2 linked regions of the Lonchura striata genome follow. The protein of the gene in region 2 interacts with the protein of the main gene of each other region in a biochemical or structural test. Links are inferred from orthologs where the notes say so. Each region holds a gene or a part of one and is shown on either strand. Other genes may lie near its edges.

Evidence for each region.
Region 1: the proteins of RUFY1 (region 2) and RAB14 form a complex in vitro, tested with the Homo sapiens proteins (2 studies listed by BioGRID). The link is inferred for Lonchura striata from reciprocal best matches to the Homo sapiens genes RUFY1 and RAB14.

The regions. Positions count from the first base shown.
Region 1 is NC_134624.1:9,481,177-9,491,788, reverse strand, and holds the start of RAB14 (ras-related protein Rab-14), read left to right. Parts: upstream 1-5,302; 5' UTR 5,303-5,491; intron 5,492-10,612.
Region 2 is NC_134617.1:6,872,571-6,882,939, reverse strand, and holds the start of RUFY1 (RUN and FYVE domain-containing protein 1), read left to right. Parts: upstream 1-5,419; 5' UTR 5,420-5,548; coding exon 5,549-5,816; exon of another isoform or gene 5,817-7,433; coding exon of another isoform or gene 7,434-7,443; intron 7,444-10,369. UniProt on the Homo sapiens protein: Activating adapter involved in cargo sorting from early/recycling endosomes. Regulates retrieval of proteins from endosomes to the trans-Golgi network through interaction with the dynein-dynactin complex.

The sequences.
Region 1 (10,612 bases), on a different chromosome or scaffold from region 2:
CTGCCCTTCGGCTGCCACATGTCCCCATCCCGTCAATGCCAGACAATGTTTTAATGCCTCGTTACGTGAATTTCATTGTTTTGTAATCTTCATGCAGTTATTGGTATGCCCGCACCAAAGCACACGCACAGGGGGCCTGTAGCACAGTCTCTGTGGATGACAGCCATTACTCAAACATCACTCTAGGATGCAGTGTGGGATGTGCCAGTAACCCATCCCCGTGGCTGGGAGCTGTCAGTGTGTCCGTGCACACCCTGATCCCGGGCAGCACTGCTGGGACCAGCGCTGCCGTGCCCTGCAGGCCAGTGACCTCTTCCTTCCTGTCCCCTATTTATAGTCACCCTGTCCTGCACGCCAGTTGTGGTGTGGGTGCACAGATAAGCGTGTACAGATCTCTTCTGGGCCCTGAGCCATGCAAAGCCTGGTTCTGATGCTCAGTGTCCCTCAGAACATCTCCCTCACCACAGTGAGTGCCCCTGGGCACTGTGTGAGTAGAGATCTGGGGAACAAATTGGGCTGACACAGGTAACAATTCATAATTGTTGGTTAGGTAACCCATTTAAGCTCCTAAGAAGTTTGGTGTAACAATAAATTACTTGAACATTGTTAAGTACACACATAAAGGCATGGACCTTATGGCTCATGTGCTTGGGAATATCACACAGAGCACAGTCATCCCTCCCGTGGTTGTTGTGTTTGAAGTTTGAGAAAGGAACATGATCCTTCAGAGCAATTTAGCAGGAAGCATTTTCTGTGAAACATTGTATGTAAAAACACATCTGAGAGCGAGTCAGACATCTCCAACCGCACTCAGAAACAATAGAAATTTCTAACTCCTTGCCTTTTTTATGGAGTTTTTCCTCAACACTACCAGTGAGTAGTGGTAAATCTAAGCCAGGCAGGCAGGCCACAGCCAGCTGTTGTTTTCTTTCACTCTCTCCATCATGTAATCGGAGAACTGTCTTGTGCTCTTGAGAGGAGCACTGTACCGAGACAGTGCCACCCTGCAGTGGGTTCTCACAAAAATGGTTTCTATGCCACCAACAATGCCCCCAGTTGCTGCTGGAATTGTGTGGAACAAAGACATGGTTATTCACAAAGCCAGTGGTGGGTATTTCTCCTCTGTCATGCCTATAACTGAAGAAGTTTTTTGTTACGCTTTTGTGTATGAGAACATTATTAACCAGAACATTTTAGGTGGGCTAAGAACCATCTGCCAATTTGATTCTGAAGTCTGGGAGAGCTGTGCATAACCAAACCTTTCATTAAATCGGGAACATCCTTTACAGAGGCACTGACACTGCACAATCACACAGTAACTCATCTACTTGATGTTCTGCATCATGTTCACATCCTATCATGCATTTGTAACATCATTACATAGCTAAACCAAAAATTCTTCACCTGTCCCTCAAATATGATTAATGCAAAATGACTTAGCCCTTTGAAAACACTGTGTTCAATTACTTTAAGTGCTGTTAAATTGCAATGTTTCCATGGAAATTTTAGGTCCCTGTTTCCACTATTCAGCTGGAAATGCAGCTACCCTTGTGCTGTTGAGGATAGAAAAGTGACCTTGGCATGCTGAAGCATTAGAGGGAGTTTCTTTCCAAGAAGTAACCTCTCAGTGCAGAGAGTGAGATCTGGAACCACACAGAGCAGAACCAAGAGTCTCTTGGTGTCAGAAATCACTGTGATTGATGAGAAGGACAGAAAAGTTTTTAGGGAGCCTTGTGCTGTGGCACTGCAAAGTCCTTCAGCAAGGAGACACCTTGAGGTGGGGCACAAACCCCTCCAGGTTGTTGCTGTCAGCTCCAGAGGTTGCTTTCTGTCCAGAAGCAGCTCTGTGTGGATCAATTCCTGCCTTGTGCAAGATGATTGACTCACAAAGCCTTTCACCACTGCCAGGATCTGGTCTCTGGGCATGTTGTCCTGTCAGCCAGGAAACCACAGCACTTGCATGCCTTTGAAAAGCAGATGCTGGTATTTTGCAGGCATTTCTATTGCTACAGTTTGGTTTTGTGCTAAAATATAAGCTACTTGCTAAGGACCCATCGAAGTATGAATGCTTGAGGATTACGCTCAAGGGATCAGAGTTGAAAGGTGAACTCCAAAATAAGCCAAATGAAGTCAGTAAAGCTCAGATTTAGCTTCAGTCAGGATAGAAGGAGTCATGGTGAGCACTGACCCATCAAGGGAGCTCGCTGCTGTATGTATTTGGAAGTATTCCTCAATATTAATGTTGAAGTTCCTGTGGAAAGGGGTACACTTCAATTCCATACTGCCATTCCCACAAAATATTGACAGAGAGAATCCAGCTGAGCTGCATCTACTGACACCAGAATTACCATTGGCCCAAATGTTCTTCTATTATTAATCAATTTAATTTGAAGCTTTGAGGCTGTACAAGTGCCAATGGGCTTGGACTGCCTGTTTTACATGAGATGAAGGAACTAAAAAAGATAAAGAAGGAACTAAAAAAAAAACCTTGACCACAGGAATATTTCTACAGACACCACAAAACTGAAATGGTAAGAGATGAAAGGAGAACTGGGCAACTCAAAAATAAAATACAAGTAAAGACCAGTTAGTCATCTGTGACCAATCCAGCGTTACGTGATCGACTCCCACAGACGTGCATTTCAAACTAGTTCCTGAAAAATCTTGTGTTTCTCCCCTCTCTCTGTCTAGAGAAACTTGAGCAAAGCCAGAAGATGAAGCTGGGGTTCGGGGGAAGATGACAGACAGAGAAACCTGACTTTTTATTGCCTGTTTGTGGCCTGACAGTTTAAATTCTGACAGTCTGGCCTGCTTACTGCTGTCCTTAGGGAAAAGAGTGTTGCAGACAAAAATTCCATTCAATCCCACACTCTTAATGAAAGCTGATGTGTAATTTAATTATATTTAGGTTTATTTTCTTACAAGGATGCATTCTAAAGAAGGAAGCTGATCCTACAGATCACTCTGTGTAGTTTATTTGCAAAGAAGAAAATCCTCAAGCCTTCTACCAACTGCATTAACTCAGTCTTTACTTTTCCTGGAGTTTGTGGTACAGAAATAAACCCAAGAGCAAGGCTCATGTGACCAGAAAATTTGGATGCTGCTCCCTCTTGACAGAAAGAGACACGTGGAAAAGGCTTTTCAAGAGTGGACTGACCCAGCAGAAATCCACAGGGAAGGGTGGGACCACAGAGGAGGATTCCATCCCTGGCAATTTGGTATTGTTACCAATTTAGTGGGTTTTAATTACTGTTGTTAGGTTCTGTCCAGATGTTCACAATGAATGGGCTGAAGTCAGCCTTTTCTCAATAACTGTTGTTGAAAAACTGCTGCAGGCTTTCAAGCACTCACAAGAATAAAGAACCAAAGAAATGCAGATGCTGTTACTCCATCCTCCTCGCTCATGTCTTCTGTTAACTTTAAACTTTGTAGGAATATTTGAGCAGAGCATATAAAAGCAGGAGCTTTGAAGCAAATCTGTATTGCCTTTTACATCACCTCAGAAAGGAAGGCAGTTTTAGATAAAATATATTTGGGAATTTCCGTTTAAAAGCTAAATCTTGCTCACATTTAGATAATGGCTTTTCATTTTGTTGCAGGTAAGAAACAAAATAATTCTATCCCCAAACCGCTTCTCATTTCTGTTCACAATTAAATAAACCAGGCTCCAGATTAAAGGGATTTTCCGAGTTGTTGAGTAATCCTGAGGTGTCTCCGTGGGCTCTGCAGGGGGAAGTGCCACCCTGTGACTGGAGAGGCGCAAACCCGAGGAGCCTGTGCCTGCCTGGGGGAGAGGGCTGGCTGCAATTCCCCCTGGAAAAGAAGCTGCAGCTCCAACCAGCCACTCCCACCCCGGGCAGGCTGTGCCCCCACTGCCCTTCCCATGGATGACAGCAATAATTACCTGTATGATTCCCTCTTGTAAAAACACGCAAACTCACCCTGCCTGCCTGACGCTACCAACACTGAGCCATAGATAGAGAAATCCTCAATGTATTTTGGTGTGTGATATCTGAACGATTCTGAATTAGAAAACCTCTCATTGCAGTGCCTGTGTTAACAGAATAATATCTGGGACAGTACCAGGGAAGTGTGCTTTTCTCAAGTCAGTAAACCAGACTGCAATTGTGTCACAACAGTCAGGTCATTTTCCGTTTAAAGACTCCCTCTCGTGGAAATCATTCTCACTGGCTCGTTTTGACCTATTTTTCTAGCAAAAGTCACTCCATATAAGGTTCTGCAAAACTTGAAAAGGGTTCTGTTGCACAGTTTTGAAGTTAGAACCCTGACAATAAGTGACAGGAGTCCTACATCTTTACTACATTGCCAGCAGATTTTGTATTTTTCTGTTGAATCTTTGCTTTTTATCACTCAGAGATTTGTTTAGCATGTAGATAAAGGGGAAAAGAATTCTAATTGTTTTTCTTCAGTGCTTTTTACTCTATGAAGTTTCTGCCCAGATAACAGGGAGTGTTATCTACCATGCAGTTTCTCCCTGGCAGAGGTTGAGTAATAATTAGGGGGTGGCTGATTCATGGAAAGCAGAGGATTCCCTGGCTGTTGCTCAACTAAGGAAATGGAATTAGTAATGTCACAGTAATGGAGATGGAAAATGCCCATGTGAAAATAGTTCCATAGAAATGTTATGGCAGTGGGGAAGCTGAAATTTAAATCTTGGACAGTGACCCACAGCAGAATCTGATATTTGCTGTAATGTTTGGAATTGAAACAAAATCCTTATTGGGGAAATTTATTGATATACTTTTACACCTCCCGAACCGCTGATTTATTTTTTAAATCCCGTGAACTGTGAGATTTGGGCAGTACGTTGCGCTTTTAGGTCTTGAGGTTCGCATGCCACGAGTGTTTAAAAAGCTGATTTAAATTATTCAAAGGCCAAATGAACACCTTCGAGCATTTCACGGGACGTTGCCAAGCACCGGGCGCTGCTCCTGGAGACAGACGGGGACCTCCGGAGCCCCTCAGGGCGCGACATCCCCGTACCTGCGCCGCGCCGGGCCGTGCATTCTCACCATTGCCCCGCGAGCTGGGGGTTCCGGGCGGGTCGCTGTTGGCTTCCGTGCCGTTTTCCCGGAGAACAGCGCGGAAATCCGGGATTTTCCGCGGCGCCGGCGGCCCCGCTCCGCCCTGAGGCGCCGCCGCCGCCGCCTGAGGGCGCGCGCGCCCGCCCCGCCCCGCGCGGCCCCGCCCCGCGCGCGCTCCCGCCCCGCCGCGCAGCGGCCGCCGTGATTGGCTGCGCCGCGGCGCCCTCGCGCCCACTCTTTGTGCGGCCCCGGCGCCCGTCGAGAGTGGGAGGGGAAACCCCGTGCGAGGGGCGCCGCCATCTTGGCTGCGGGGGTGATGGGGGCGCAGCGGAGCCGCGTCTGAGGCAGCGCAGCGAGCCCGGAGCGAGCCGAGCCACACAGCCCGCGGGGGCACCGGGCACCGCCCGCACGGCCGCGCTGCACCGCTCCCTGAGCCCCGAGCACAGGTACGGCGCGCCGGCACGGCCCGCCCGGCCGGGCCGCTGCAGCGCCAGGCCCCGCGCCGCGGCTCCGCGGGCCGGGGCGGGTCCCGGTCGGCCGCGCTCCGTCCCGGGGCCGCCCCGAGGCGCGGCCCGGCGGGCCCGGGGCCGGCAGCGAGGGGAAGGGGCGGCCGGGCTGAGCGGGGGGAGGCTGCGGGCAGGACTAGGCCGCTTGGCTCTGTGGCACCGCCGCCTCCCAGCGCTCCTCGGCACCGCCGCCAGCAACACCGGCGATATTTTTATATGTGTGTTCTGTATCTCCCCCTTACGAGCTGTTGCAGTTGCACGGAGGGTGTGTATGTGTGTATTGTGCCGTGTATGTGGCCGATGTGCAGCGTTATCTCTGCTTTTAATTGTTCTATTGACCTGTGCCGTCATGAACTTTGACAGAAAAATAACTTTGAGGGTTGAGGGAAAAGCCACTTCCTATTTGAGAAAGCAGCGAAAGTATTCTAGACTGTTTTTTTTTTTTTTTTTTGTCAAAGCTTATTGAGGCTAAAGAGAGCGAAATTATTTCCTTTCCAATTGTTTATTGCCTGTTTGCAGCACACGAAGTATCCACAACATCTGTTGGTAGCTTTGTCTTGAATTGGAGTTGTGCTGAATTATCGTGGCAGTAAAGCCAGAGAAAGGTGGGTGTCTGCACTGGAGTGCCTCTGGAGGTTACTCGCTGTGGCTTTTGCTTTAAAACAGGGTGGATCTGTGTTGGGATGTTTTTCAGAGGTGACAGAGCCCCTTAGTGAACAGGATTCCTCAGGGTGGCTGTGTCCTAAATCCCAAGTCACATCTTTTACAGGTGTTATCCTGTGGAGTGTATTGCCTGGGATTGATTCCTGTCCTGGTTTGGACTGCAGAGCCCTTGTGCTTGGGCAGTACTTGCTGATGGGAAGAAAATACCTTGGGCAGCTTAATTACTAAATGTCACAATTTAATGTGGTTTATAAAGGAATTTGCTAGCTTCCTGTAGGGATTTAAAAATGTCGTAAGTCTGAGTGCAAGGAAGAAGTTCTCTTTTCCATTTTATGAGTAACAAAAAAATGAGGAGTTCTTATGAAGGACAGCAGTTTGGAAACAAACCTGTTCTACTGGAGTTACTGGGATGTAAAATGTAAATAATACTTTAAAATTACCTGCTCACTTCTGGGCATCTAATGAAACCTGATTAAGATTGATTCTCATTTTGCTGAATCTTCCTGAAACAGGAGGTAGCTCTTAGTTAATATTTACCTAAAACGTCTGTGACTTGTGTTTTCCTAGGTGGTGACTCCAGAGTGTTCTGATTTATTGGAATGACAGAAAACTCTTCTGGTTTTCTATATTCTGTCCCAAATTTACCTCTGGACCTTGGTTCTCCTGCTGGGAACAGACATGCAACAGGTTGGAGTGTTCTGTAGGAAGAGAAGAGTAGGATAAGTGAGGAAATACAAGTGGATAAGGGGTGGCTGTGGGGAGGGACATGGCAGAAGGTGCTCGAGCTGATGAGGACGGGTAGGCAGTGATTAGTTCAGCTCTGCTGCTGGGGTGTGGTTAGGGAGAATTGAAGTGTGCATGTATAAATGCAGGAAGCAAAATGGAGTAACTTAATGAAGCAGGATGTGAAACCAGCAGAATGATAACCAGGACAACGTGGATGTGACTGGAGAGCTGGTGAGGAAAGTCAGAAAGTGAAGGTAGTGTGTTAGGTAGCTTTGATTTAAAAAGAAAAATGAAGCTCTCCTGGAGGAAGGAGAAGTGAAGGCCTGTGAAGCCTTTAGAAGAACCTCCTAGGCCTCAGGCTGGGCTAAGGTGTTTGATGTGATTAGGGAACACAGCAAATGCATTTCTTCAAGAACAGCCTGGAAAGGGCTCTGCAGGGCTGCAGTCTGAGCCCCAGAGCCTGCAGGCCTCGTGTGCTCTCAGGGAAAGAGTAACTGGAGGTGGGAGTAGTAAGGAAATGCAAAGTGATCCTGGACAGCAGCTCCCAGAGGCTGCTGGGTGAGCAGAGATCAGCTGAGCCAAATTTCCTGTCTTGTGCTGATTGGCTGCTTTGGTGAAATCCAAGAGGGGGAAGCAAGGGAGGATGACTCTGGAAGAGCTGAGGGATGAGTAAGGAACTGGCCAGCAACAAGTGATGTTGTCAGACAGGTGTGAAGGCTGCAGCAGGCTCTGAAACTCCTCAGGAATCAGGCTCAGCAGGGCTTTGTAAAGCCAAGCCTGCAAAAATGAATAAATAAGCAGAGCACAGTGGCTGCAGAGCATCATCTTAAAGAGGGCTGAGATGTTGATGTGGTTGAGGAAGACCTGAATGTCCTTGGTGTGTGAAAGCCAGAGAACCACAGTGGAATTTAATTGTAGCAGACCTCATGGAGTGCTGTGGACAACAGACCTATGGGAATTCAGTGCTTTGGTGAATTAATTGATAGCAGAGCTGTTGTTACCTTCAGTGTGCTGTTATCTGACAGGTGACCATAACTGAAGCACTCACAGACTGTTTCTAGTAGCCTGCTGAGGTCAGGTACCAGTTGAACCACATTGTTCTGTGTGCTTGACAAAAGTCTTATCAGGGGAAAAGTGCAATTACAAAATGAAACAATTCTACCTCTTTCCAGCTCCTCCCCCTTACCAATCTTATTGTTGTCTGTTAATTAACATCTAAATAATCTACAGATTCAACTGTGAGAGCTTTTAGTACTGCACATCCTTGGGGAATGATGCACAGAACACCTGGCTGCCCAGAGAGACTACAAAATGCTTTTTGCTTCAGAGTAGCTCCCAGTGGTTCCCTGGCTGCAGAGTTCTGTCCTTTGCAGGGAACCAGGAACAGCTGGGCAGTGCTGAGTTTGGAGGTGGTAGTTTTTTCCCCAGCTCTCATCCCTGCACATGGACCATCCATCAGCTGGTGGAATGAACCACAGCAGTATCTGAAAAGCCCTCTGCATGCAGGTTCTGGTCTCCCTTATAACACACCTGCTTCTTGTTGAGTATAAAGATAATAAACTTCTTAGTGCAAGTGATATCCAGTGAAGAGTTAAAACTATGTCTTTGAACTGGAAGGAAATGCACAGATCTCACAAAGGCTGGTATGCATCTGATATTTACAGGTTATGTTACTGTGATAAAGAATGTTACAGCAGTGTGCCCAGAACAATCTTATCTCGGGAAGTACAGATGTAGCTGATACTTGAAATAAGGTTTCAGTGAGATTTCTAAATATCTGTGTGGTGCTTGTTGATTAGAGAAGGAGATGTACATGTACTGGTGTCTCATTAAGGTCATCTTTAACTTTATTTTCCAAAAAAAGCCTCCAAGAAGAAGTTGATATATGGGAAATGGATTTGGTGACACTGCTCACTGTAAAATGTCCAGTCTTAATGTAATGCAGAAATGAATTGTATAGGCTTTGAAATGAGCATCAGTCTGTACTCAGTGAGCTCCTCTGGCCAGTGGCCATCCTGCACTAATGCTCTGGGCTCCAGGGCAGCCGTACCTGGGAGGAGGCAGCCGGGGCTGGGCTGGCAGCCTCTCCTGGAAGAAGGATGGCAGGTAGGCCAAGCTCCCAGACTAAACTTCTGCTTTCTGTTAGCAGGAAACTCATGGCTGGTTAACTCGGGTGGCACAGTGCCAGCAGTGGCGAGGCTGAGCTCTGGATATTTATGTGCAACTTTCTCAGCCCTGCAGTTCTTGCCCTCCCAGGGGGAAAGCCCATTCCCCCCGGTTGGAATTACTGAGATTCACGTGTGTGGGACAGGGGGTGGAGGCAGAACTTGAGTTCCTGCAGAGGGGCGATGCCTATCAAGGCATCAAGCCCTTGCATTGACATGTAGCTGATAGTTTAGAATTTACTGACCCCTCTTGTGCCCTGTTCTTGTCTGCACTTCCTTCTTTCGTCTGCAGTAAATGCTGAGGTGGTCAGTTTTCCAAGGCTAAATTCTCAGCGGGGTTTCTGTGTTTAGTTAGTTGCATTTTTTTTTTCTCCTTCAGCACAGAGTCCTTGTGGAATATCACTTCTATTCCAAGATCTGAGTACAGTTTGAATTCCTGCTAATCCTTATTGGAATTTGAGTGTTTAAAATTTTGTTATTTGGTTGTTTTAGTGTTGCTTGGGTTTTTATTTGACTTTTTATTTAAAGGAATCATCTGTTCTCCAGAAAACATTCCTGACCTTTACTAATGGTTTGGAGTATTTCAGAATCTTTTCTGTAATGTGACCCTTGCAATAAATGTAATACCAGTAGTTTTTTGCATTGAAATAGCATAGTTTCTTACTTTCTTACTTAGAGGGAATAATGAAAATGGGCATATCTCAGCAAGCAGAAACAGTCTGGCAAACAGCTGTATATTTAGCAATGAAGATCTAGTTGAGACTCGCTTCAAATTCAGTTTGTGACAGAGACTGCACTGAGTTCCTGATGTGTTCATGCTTTAAAAAAAGTCCTCCTCACTTTCCTGACTTGGAAAGCAGGATGCATTTCCCTCCTGGTTGGAACAGCAGAGCAGTACAACATTGTTTACCACACAGTGCTATCCTAAAGTCATGTGCTCAGAAACACGAAACTTCCTTGTGTTTGGGAGTACTTGGCATTCCTTGGCCTCCTGGTCTTGGGAAGAAGAGTGGGCATGCAGGCTGGTTTCATAGCCACACAGATGCTTGGTTCCCTGTCTCAGAGTTCATGGTGCTGGTTGGTTTGGTTGGGGTTTTTAACAGCATAAGTTACTGGACATTTCCATCCTCAGAATGCACAGGAGATCTTTGGTGCATATTGGTGCTCTTGGCGTCTTGTGGCTGTAACACCCAGCTGTTCTCTGTGGAAAACAGGGCAGTTCCTGCTCTCCTGAACCACTTGCATGTATGGATCAGTTTGTTCAAACTTTGTTTTATATTTCCAGTTGCCTCAAGGACCCCCAGTTGAGCCCTGTGTGCCATCACATGGAGCTGAGCTGTGGGCGTGGTGCTCCTGCCCTGCCCACAAAGGAGGTGGCAGGTGAAGGGTCCTGCAGGAACACGTGCTTTGTGTGCCCAGTTTACCGTGCTGGAGAAGAAAAAGAACATAATGTATAAAGATGTTCAGGAAACTTGAAGGACTGGATGTTTCCACAGTGACACATTCC
Region 2 (10,369 bases):
TTCTAACAATGAACCTGTAGCACACTAAATGCATTTGATGTTATTAGACCCTTCTTTTTTTCTTTTTCTAGCTGAAAATTATGTCATGATTCCTTGGTTGCTCTGTTTCTTAGTATTTGAGGAAGTTACATCTGCCTATATGAGAGTATCATCAGCATTCAAGGTGAATGTGTGAGTCAGGAACAATATAAACTGAGGATCTAAATAGAAAAAAATTAAAGAATAATAATTTAGTGGTTTCTGGGGAGGTTGTACTGGTGCATGTACAAGCCTTCAGTCTACCATTAGGCTAGAGCCCTGCATTTTTCAGTTCTGTTTCCAAAGGTCACATGCTTACATATGATTAATTCCCTCAGATGGATCAGTGAAGATATTTCAAAGGATTTCTGGTCAGAGATCACTAAGCGATCTCACTGTTAACATCTAACCTGCCTACTCTAGCTTCCATCAAACATGGAAAGGCCTGACAAGAAATTAGCCAAACCTGTAATATAAGGGGAGCTGATAACAGACATGGTGAAGCTGAGCTGCACACCTGCATTAACCAAAAACTCAGGTTTCCCTTTGATTCTGTCAATAATTAAGGTCCTTTTTTAAATCCCTAAAACATTTTTTTCCCTTTTTCACCCTACAAAAATTCCTATTGAATCAAAAGGTCTGGGAGTTATCCCTTAGTGTGGTGTACCAAATTTAAGTACAGATCTGCAAGGAAAAACACTCTGAGAAAGGAAAGAAGATATTTTTTCTCTTTAAAACAATGAAAAATCTAGCTAAAGATTTATTGACTTCACTTTTGGTTTAAGCTCTCTAAATATCTTACTAATTAGTATGCAGCGTCACTCATAGAGAAATCAGAAAATGAGAAAATCAAAGGCAGCAGAAAACCAGGATTTGCATTTATCACACTACTTGTTGCACTTTTTCCAACTTTTTGTGTCCTGCACTTTACAAAGTGGACTCACTCATAAGATCTCATTCTTTGTGGAGAAACCTGAGCTAGTTGGTGCCACACTGCGCCCTCAAGTGCAAGAGTGCACTTCACCGGAACTGCATGCAAGCACCTAAATGTTATTTAGTTTATGGATAATGGATTAAATGTTTATGAACTTCCAAAATTTGCTTTTGAAACAGATGATTAAAATAGCTAACAGTTAATTTAATTATTTATGTTTTGTAAAGCAAAAAGGTATTTTTCTAAACTTGTCTAGGGAGTATATAATGTATTTCATTGGTTGATATAATAACTAACAACATTTTCTTCTGCAATTTGCATAATTTCTGTTACACTAGAGCAATATGAGCCCATTTCTTCAGCTAATTAAGTCACATATAAGTATTCTCATGTGTGTAAGTTGAAAACTGCTTTAAGTAGCAAAAATGTCAGCACATTTCAAAAATACTGCATTCATATCTTACTATAATTCCCTTGACCCTATGACCCTCGGTCAAGTCAATTTACAGCACTTTTATAAAACCTTACAAATTGTACTTGATACAAAACTGTCTGGAGAAGAGAGGAGAGGAGAGGAGAGGAGAGGAGAGGAGAGGAGAGGAGAGGAGAGGAGAGGAGAGGAGAGGAGAGGAGAGGAGAGGAGAGGAGAGGAGAGGAGAGGAGAGGAGAGGAGAGGAGAGGAGAGGAGAGGAGAGGAGAGGAGAGGAGAGGAGAGGAGAGGAGAGGAGAGGAGAGGAGAGGAGAGGAGAGGAGAGGAGAGGAGAGGAGAGGAGAGGAGAGGAGAGGAGAGGAGAGGAGAGGAGAGGAGAGGAGAGGAGAGGAGAGGAGAGGAGAGGAGAGGAGAGGAGAGGAGAGGAGAGGAGAGGAGAGGAGAGGAGAGGAGAGGAGAGGAGAGGAGAGGAGAGGAGAGGAGAGGAGAGGAGAGGAGAGGAGAGGAGAGGAGAGGAGAGGAGAGGAGAGGAGAGGAGAGGAGAGGAGAGGAGAGGAGAGGAGAGGAGAGGAGAGGAGAGGAGAGGAGAGGAGAGGAGAGGAGAGGAGAGGAGAGGAGAGGAGAGGAGAGGAGAGGAGAGGAGAGGAGAGGAGAGGAGAGGAGGTCTCTGTTGGCACAGCCGCTGTCACAGAGCAGCTTCAGGGGTCGCTCCGATGAGCATCTCAGTTTGGTTCTTTTCCTGGAGCTCTCCGGTATTTTCTCAGGATGTGGGGTTTGCAGGGCGTTAGAGGCTGCTCTTGAAAAAAGCGGTGCCATAGTGTCACCTGCTGGGAAGTTCTGCCCCTGCCTCTTTTTACAGAGACGAATGTTAAATAACTAAATGAAAATCAGTGTGTGTTTTTTACCTTCTTTCTCATACTCCACATTCTAGTTCACTACACTCCTATTGAAAGGTATTTTTTCTAAAAACAAGGCAATAGTTCAGAGTAGAACAATAAATATCCTGGACTTTTCTTCAGACTGTCATTCAATATGTATCTGGTGGGTGTTTGGTCTTAACTGATTTAAACTTTACTGAGTGAGCTACTGTTCTTTTGATTCTATGCCAACATCTCAATGCAAGTTTCTCTTCCATATTTTACTGTCTTTTCCTTTATTTACTACAATGACACACATTTCCAGCTATAAATATTTCCATGTCCTCTTAGGGACACTAATGATTTTAGAAAGAAGTTTCAAACAGCTGATTCTGTCATTACCAATGTGTTGATGCAAGGATGGCACTAGTTGGTGCAGTGGGGTCAGGGACCATAAAGTTGTGGCTTTGAAATTACAAAAATTATTTTATTCAATAGAAGTATGTTTGGAAGTTTGGTTTTCTTCAAACACCTCTTTGATTACAAGTGATAGGAAAATAACTAATTAGCTGCATCAGAGGTAGAACAACAGCTAAAACTTTTGTCTCTAATTACTTAATCACTGTTATAAGGGAAGAATTCATTCATGGACGTGGAAATGGTTGAGGGTTTGGGGTTTTTTTTAATTATCTTTCATTCTGCTAGCCAGACATTTGTATTAAATTTCCTGTACAATTTCCTGATTAAAATAGAAATTCTTCCAGGATTATATTTTCTACACTTTGAATTCATTATTTTTTAAGTATTTCAAAAGTGAGTTTTTATCCTGTCACATAAGAAGATAGAGAAGAGGGGGTCAGTAAAACCAAACAAGGCTATGCAAGATTGCATGAAAAAAAGAACAGAAATGTATTTATCTCAGCTTCATAATGGTATTTTTTTTTCTTTAGAAACACCTTATTTTTTAGGGTTAGGAAAAGAAAAAAGTAGTAAGTAGGTCACTTAGTCCCCTAGCTTTTCAATGAGTCCTAACTATTCTAAGTATTTTTGTGATTACACAGAACTGACATTTATGGCAGACCAAAACTAGCCACAAAAATGGGCTTTCAAAAGAAAATATTGTTCATCTTCACAAGAGTAGCAAGAGCTGGATCAGTGGTCTGCAAAAAGAAAAGAGTGGTGAAATACCATCATCTGCAGAAGACCAAAACAAGCCCGATCTCCAAGCTAAAAGTAATCAAAGTTATTCATGCATAGTGCCCCTCCCTGAAAAATCAGTGAACTGAAACCAAAGTTACATCACTTTTGGTTTTGAGTTTCTTCAATTTTTATTTAATGTGCTTAAAGCTGTATTCTGTATTAACTTCACTCTCCTTGGCTGCCACAAATGATTCCTTAGGAAATTGTACTTCGTAAACGAAACAAATCTCTTTAACTTAGGGCTCCCTTACAATGTCACAAGACTTCTTATTTGCTTTAAAATAAGAAGTGTGAGGACAGAGGGCATTTAAAGCAAACAGTGGCTGATTAAGTAATTTTGACCAAATAGTAGTAAGTGAAACAATTAAATCATGTGTAACAAAAGTTTGAGTACATTTATTATGCACAGTATAACTTTTCCTCATCAGACACTTGAAATAAAATTGTCAAATGTTTTTTTAATAGTAACATAAGAAAATATGATTGCAACTATGTGATAGCTTCACTTCATATTTTTACAAAATAGCTCATTGTAAGGCTGTAAAGAGGAGTCTGAGGCATCGTTATCTTAAGGGAGTAACATAATGAGGTAAAGAAGAGCCTTGATTAACTCTTATGTTCTCAGTCACAGAACTTTTATGCCCTATTCTTCAGATGCATTGGGGGAAAAAATATTTTAATGCTTAGAATTCTGCTTCTAGTCAAGACTACCTTCTCCACCCTGACTCTAATATTGGGTAGTTAATGGAAGGCAGAAAAATACTATAATGTCTCACTCCTGTCAAGAGGTTTATTCATATATTCAAGGGCAAGACAGAAACCTACAGAGCTGAGCTATTTCCTTATGAACAGCCCAATACTGCTGGAGACCACAAGATGGAGCAGAACTTAACTCTAGCAGGCTTTAGCAAAAGTGGCTTAAAGCCTATACTTAGCTCATCTGAATCATGGGTGAATAAGAGGCTGCTGATCGCTGAATTCTCAACAAAAATAAAAGAGCTTCCGTGTGCTTTGTGCAAGTTGTTAAATTTTCAGTATCTAAGAAGTCAAGACCCGATCATAAAGTAGCTTATATTAAGAAAAAATACATATATAGACCAGAGGATTTCTATTGCTGCAAGACTAAAGAAATTGACCTTCAAGTCTCCTATTCTAGCCTCCTTCTCCTATTTTTTTTCTTAAAAAAAAATCACCCAAAAGAAAAAAAAATCACCCAAAAGACTTCCCTCTATGTAGCATAAAAAGCTCATACACAGCATCTACTACCTCGTGACTAAACGAGTGACATATCTCAAGCACACGCAGCTGCTGCATGGAAAAAGTTAACAAGCCATACATCAGTAGGCTACGTCAATATTTGAGGCACACGGCAAGATCGAATTTTCATAGTGGAATTATTTCAGTTCCCCTTCATGATGTATTTTTCTACCAAACCCAGCCCATGCACATTAATGAAGCGGCTTTACTGTGTAGTTGTGTTTCCATGTCAGTGACGAGGACAATGCCTTTCCACAGCAGCACACACCTGTCATACCAATCCTCCCCTTTAAATCACAACGACGTGATTCACAAGGCAGAGCAACGGGGACCTCGTTAAGCTGTCTCTATCTAACTGTGTAAATCTGAGCCGTCAAAACACATTAATTTTTTTATTGAAAATTATGTCTGGGGACACAGACAGCAGTAAAAACCTGTACTTTTTGTTACTAAGTTGTTCAAAGGTAAACTCGTCGTCTTCCACGCCATTTAACTCTGAACACCAAGGGAAGTGTTGTCCTGGCCAGGCATGCCTTACAGCCCTGCGTCTGCGTGCAGGTGCTTCTCGCTGCCTGCGGGACCTGCCCTGGTCCCTGTCCCTGGTCCCTGGTTCCCGGTTCCCGTTCCCGTTCCCGTTCCGGTTCCCGTTCCCGTTCCCGGTTCCCGTTCCCGTTCCCGTTCCCGTTCCGGTTCCCGTTCCCGTTCCCGTTCCCGGTTCCCGTTCCCGTTCCCGTTCCCGTTCCCGTTCCCGTTCCCGTTCCCGGTTCCCGCCGCTCCCCTCACCCGCCCGGTTCCCGCCCCTCACCCGCGGCGGGGGCGGCTCCCGAGCCGCGGTCATGTGACCCTGCCAAGATGGCTGCCGGGGAGCGCCGCGCCGCGCCCGCCGCGGGAAAGGAGGAAGATTTTGAGATTATCGACAAAAAGCAGCTCCCTGACGCGGCCGAGCTGAGCAACGAGGAGAAGGCGAAACCGGAGGAAGCGCGGTGGTCTGCTCCTATCTTGTCTCTGGCCAGGAAAGCCTCGGAAAACTTGGCGCTGAGCTATGGCAGCGCCCTGAAGTCCGCATCCCTGGTGGGATTGGTGTCCAAGCCCGGCAGCAGTGACAGCCCGGCAAAGACAAGTACGGCTCCGCTTCTTTAGTAAACTCGCTTTTGTGGTGCGCAAATGAGTTCGCTCCCGTAAGTGCTGCTGGGTCGTGTCAGTGGTGCGTGGGTGTTACTTTGAATTTCTTTAAGATGCTGCAGTTTTGTATTGAAGTAAAATTAAACAAGTGACACAGATGTAGAATTTCAGAAATGCAGTATAACCAGAAGAAGCCTAAATTCTTTATATGTGGAGAAACTGACTTGTATTTGCTGCCTTTTCTCTTTCTCCTTAAAGCTCCAGCAGCCTGACTGCACTGAGGGATCTCTCAAAATTCCACATCCTCCCTCGAGTGCTGCTGGTTCCGGGAAGGAATCTCTGTACTTTTCATGTCAGAGACTAGACCAGCAAACTAAGATACAGATTTGTTACAAGTTACTTTTTAACTACACTAAAAATGCCCTCAGTTTAGCCAGAGACTGCTTTGTTCAACATTGGCATTTGTGGATCTAGCAGATTTGTGGAACAGGTCTCCTAGAACTGAATTAAAATGGCTTTAGTTGAATCATATGGAAAATAAATCTCAGCAATATTTATAAAGTGGGGGAAAAAAAACCCAAACCCATTAAAATGTATCATAAATTGGGCCTGGAGCCTTATATTCCAGAGTCTCAGACTGGTGCTTAATTGTTCTGGAGCACTGGAGCTCAGTTTTGCTCTGTTTGGTGCTGACCTTTTTGTTTTTAATGGTACTGAGTATTCAAAGGGAAATTCCACGCCACTGTGTTGTGACAGCAGGGGTAATGTTACTGCTGATGGACTTCTTCATTTTTTTTTTTGGTGAAAATTCCTCAATGTTGCATAGTCAGAGTTGAGGATTAATTGTCCTAAAAAAACAGACTCTTTTCCTGCATCTCAGAGTCTCACACCAAACTTCTCGCAGGTTTGTTTCCCGAGTGCCCATCTTGCACACCTGGGATCTAACCTGACCAAGTGCAGAAGATCCCAGTTTATTTGTTTGCTTTTGGAATAATGCTGTGGATAGATGGAATTGAAAACAACACACAGCATTATTTGGCAAGGGGCAGGGAATAAAATATTGTCTTACCTGAAATGAAGCTCCCACATTTTATGGAACTTTTACCATAATCTTTCCACTTCTTCCTTGTAAAGTAAGGGAACACACCACAACCTTCCCACGTTGTTCAGGGGATTTGGATTATATTTTGTTGATAAGTGTTATGGAAAATTCTGTATGAAAAATACAATTAATAAATTGTATAAGAATACAAGTTAATAACTTGTATATTAAATGTAAACAGGCGCTAAGGCACCTGTTCTACCTGTTCAATATTACCTTTGACTAAGCACTTAATTATAATTTAAAGCAGGTATGTTTAAGAAATAAGCCAAGGCCTGCAAGACCTGTTGTGGAGAACTTGGAGCTTGTTGCCTGCTGTAATCTTTTTCCAGGGATTTTATAACCTCTGTCTGCTACTTCAGATCCCTTGATCACATGTTCTAAACACATAAACCCCATCCTAAAACCAGTGTCTTCTACTGAGGAAATTGTGTCCTGCCTTGCAGAGAGGCCAGAAGCTTCAAATCTAAAGGAAATGAATCAAGAAAGACTTGCAGTCCCAAAGACCAAGGGATGGAGAACTGTGAGCTTCCTTTGTGCTTCAGTGTTTTCTGACTTGAGTGTGCTGAATAATTATAGTAAACAAGGCATGTGGCTTCAAAAAGATGTTGAAACAAATCTCTTGAGTTGAATAAGATACAAAACTGTGTGACTGCATTCTTAAAGATTGCAGCATCACATCTCTGATCTTTTGCACTGGGGTAACCTGATTCCTAATCTTTAAAGCTTGGCTTTGCTAGTGTGTCTAATACCTGTTTATTTTGCATGTATCGATCTGCACGGTTTTGCGAAAGATGTACTTGACTGTGTAAATTTGCAACCATCTAAAAAATATTGTTCAAGTAATTTAACTTAATGCAAACTGATATTAAGACACTTCTTAGTTTAAAAGTGTTTTCATAAGCAGCATTTCATTCATGGTATTTTATTTTTTTAAGTCTTCTGGGTAATAAATGTAAGGTAATTAAGGTGTAGCAAGGTGTAGAGGCAAAGTATTCTTGGTAAGTAAAAATTCAAATTCGAAAAGACATCAAAATGGTTAGCACTGCTTTGAAACACCCCAAAAATATCACTGTGTTTTTGTTTGTGCAGCTTTTCATCTGTTCCTAATGTGTAACCTGACAATATTGAGATAAAAATTCTAAATATTGTGATGCTTTTAATCCTTAGCCTCATTATATACAGTTTTGAAGCATCCATTGGCTATAGGCAATATACAGTATACTCCTTCTAGATATGTGTATATCTAGAATATAATGTATATTGATTATATACTGTATATACAATTGTATAAACTGTATATAGTATATATTCAATGAACTATAGAGTAGCATGCAGAGATGACAACATTTTGTGTGTATTGTGGTTATTAAGGTCAGTTAGATTAGAATTACTCTGTTTTCCCTCTTCTGATACAAGGAGTATTTTGCTCATTTTTAACCCTAAATTAACATTGTGTGTACAAAAAGGAAAACACTGAAGAGGCTTTTGCACAATCTTAAAAACATTGTTAACCATCTTGAGTGTGACTGGCACAGGGCTGGGGCTTCTGCCACTGCTTTTTCTGCAGAGTGTGTGACCACAGGTGACAGCAAGACTGTCCTGCTGAAACAGCAGTGGCTTAAAACCTGATTTTGGTGGCCACTGGGCTGTGGTTGGAAGCTCCTGTCAGAGCCTGTAGGAGCCTTAAAAAGCAAGGGAGCTGGCCCTAGTCCCACTCCCCCTGTTGTCCCACAACAGGTTATTTCACTTGGCCTGCAAGGAGCCAATCCATGCAGAGTGAAGGGATTTGATTTATTTACAGTTTTGCACAGAAGGGGGCTGGGTGACAAATCCACAAAGCCAGCACAAGTACCAAAACGTTTCACTATTTTAGGTATTAGGCATTAATGTTCATTGGTTACAAATTCCCTAGTTCTCTTATTAATTATTATTCTGTCTTCTATTAGTCAATGATATCCATGCTCAGTCTGTCTTTTCTTTTGGGTCAGTGAGTTTCTTGGGTCAGTGGTCACAATCTGCCCCTGCCAGAATTACCTTCTACCAGTCAGAGCTGATTGAGCACAGTTGCTGCATTTTAGGAGTTTCTTCCTTATATTGGGGGTTCTGCCAAATGTCATAAAATCATAGAATATGCTGGATTGGCAAGGACCCCCTAGGATCATTGAGTCCAGCTGCTATCCCTGTACAGGACCATCCACAAGAGTCACACCATGTGTCTGAAAGTGTTGTACAAATGTACAAATGCTTGAGCTCTGTCAGGCTTGGTGCTGTTACCACTGCCATGAGGAGCCCATTCCAGCGCCCAAACATCCTCTGGGTGAGGAACCTTTTCCTGATCTCAACCTAAACCTCTCCCAACTCAGCTTCAGGCCGTCCTTGCAGCACATAAATTCTGCATCCTTTGCATCCACTATCGCTGCTACATCCTTTTATTAACCTCCCCTAGGCCTGAGGTCCCTGAAGGGCTGGACACAGTCCAGCCCTAAACCTTAACAAGGCAATTTGAGATTCGCCTTTGTAACACCTGGGCGCCACTTACACTTTGCTCGTTAGCTGATGTTTCAGGGTTAAATCGCCCTGATTGTTGCTTAGGCTTGAAACTGTACAGAGATCGAGAAACATCCTTTCTGAAGTACATCTGTACCTAATTCCACATTTTGCAACGCGCCGCTGCCGGGGCTCTAAGATGGCGGCGGGCCCGCCGCCGCGCCGTGGCCGTGGCAACGCGGCGGGCCGGGGTCCGGCGGCGGGCCGGGGTCCCTCAGCATCCCGGGGTCCCTCGGCATCCCGGGGTCCCTCGGCATCCCGGGGTCCCTCAGCATCCCGGGGTCCCTCAGCATCCCGGGGTCCCTCGGCATCCCGGGGTCCCTCAGCATCCCGGGGTCCCTCAGCATCCCGGGGTCCCGCGGCGGGCCGGGGTCCCTCGGCATCCCCGGGTCCCGCGGCATCCCGGGGTCCCTCGGCATCCCGGGGTCCCGCGGCGGGCCGGGGTCCCTCGGCATCCCGGGGTCCCTCAGCATCCCGGGGTCCCTCGGCATCCCGGGGTCCCGCGGCATCCCGGGGTCCCTCAGCATCCCGGGGTCCCGCGGCATCCCGGGGTCCCTCAGCATCCCGGGGTCCCGCGGCATCCCGGGGTCCCTCAGCATCCCGGGGTCCCGCGGCATCCCGGGGTCCCTCAGCATCCCGGGGTCCCGCGGCATCCCGGGGTCCCTCAGCATCCCGGGGTCCCTCGGCATCCCGGGGTCCCTCGGCATCCCGGGGTCCCGCGGCATCCCGGGGTCCCTCGGCATCCCGGGGTCCCTCGGCATCCCGGGGTCCCGCGGCATCCCGGGGTCCCTCGGCATCCCGGGGTCCCTCGGCATCCCGGGGTCCCGCGGCGGGCCGGGGTCCCTCAGCATCCCGGAGTCCCGCGGCGCCGGCCCGGCCCCGCCGCTCAGGTACGGACC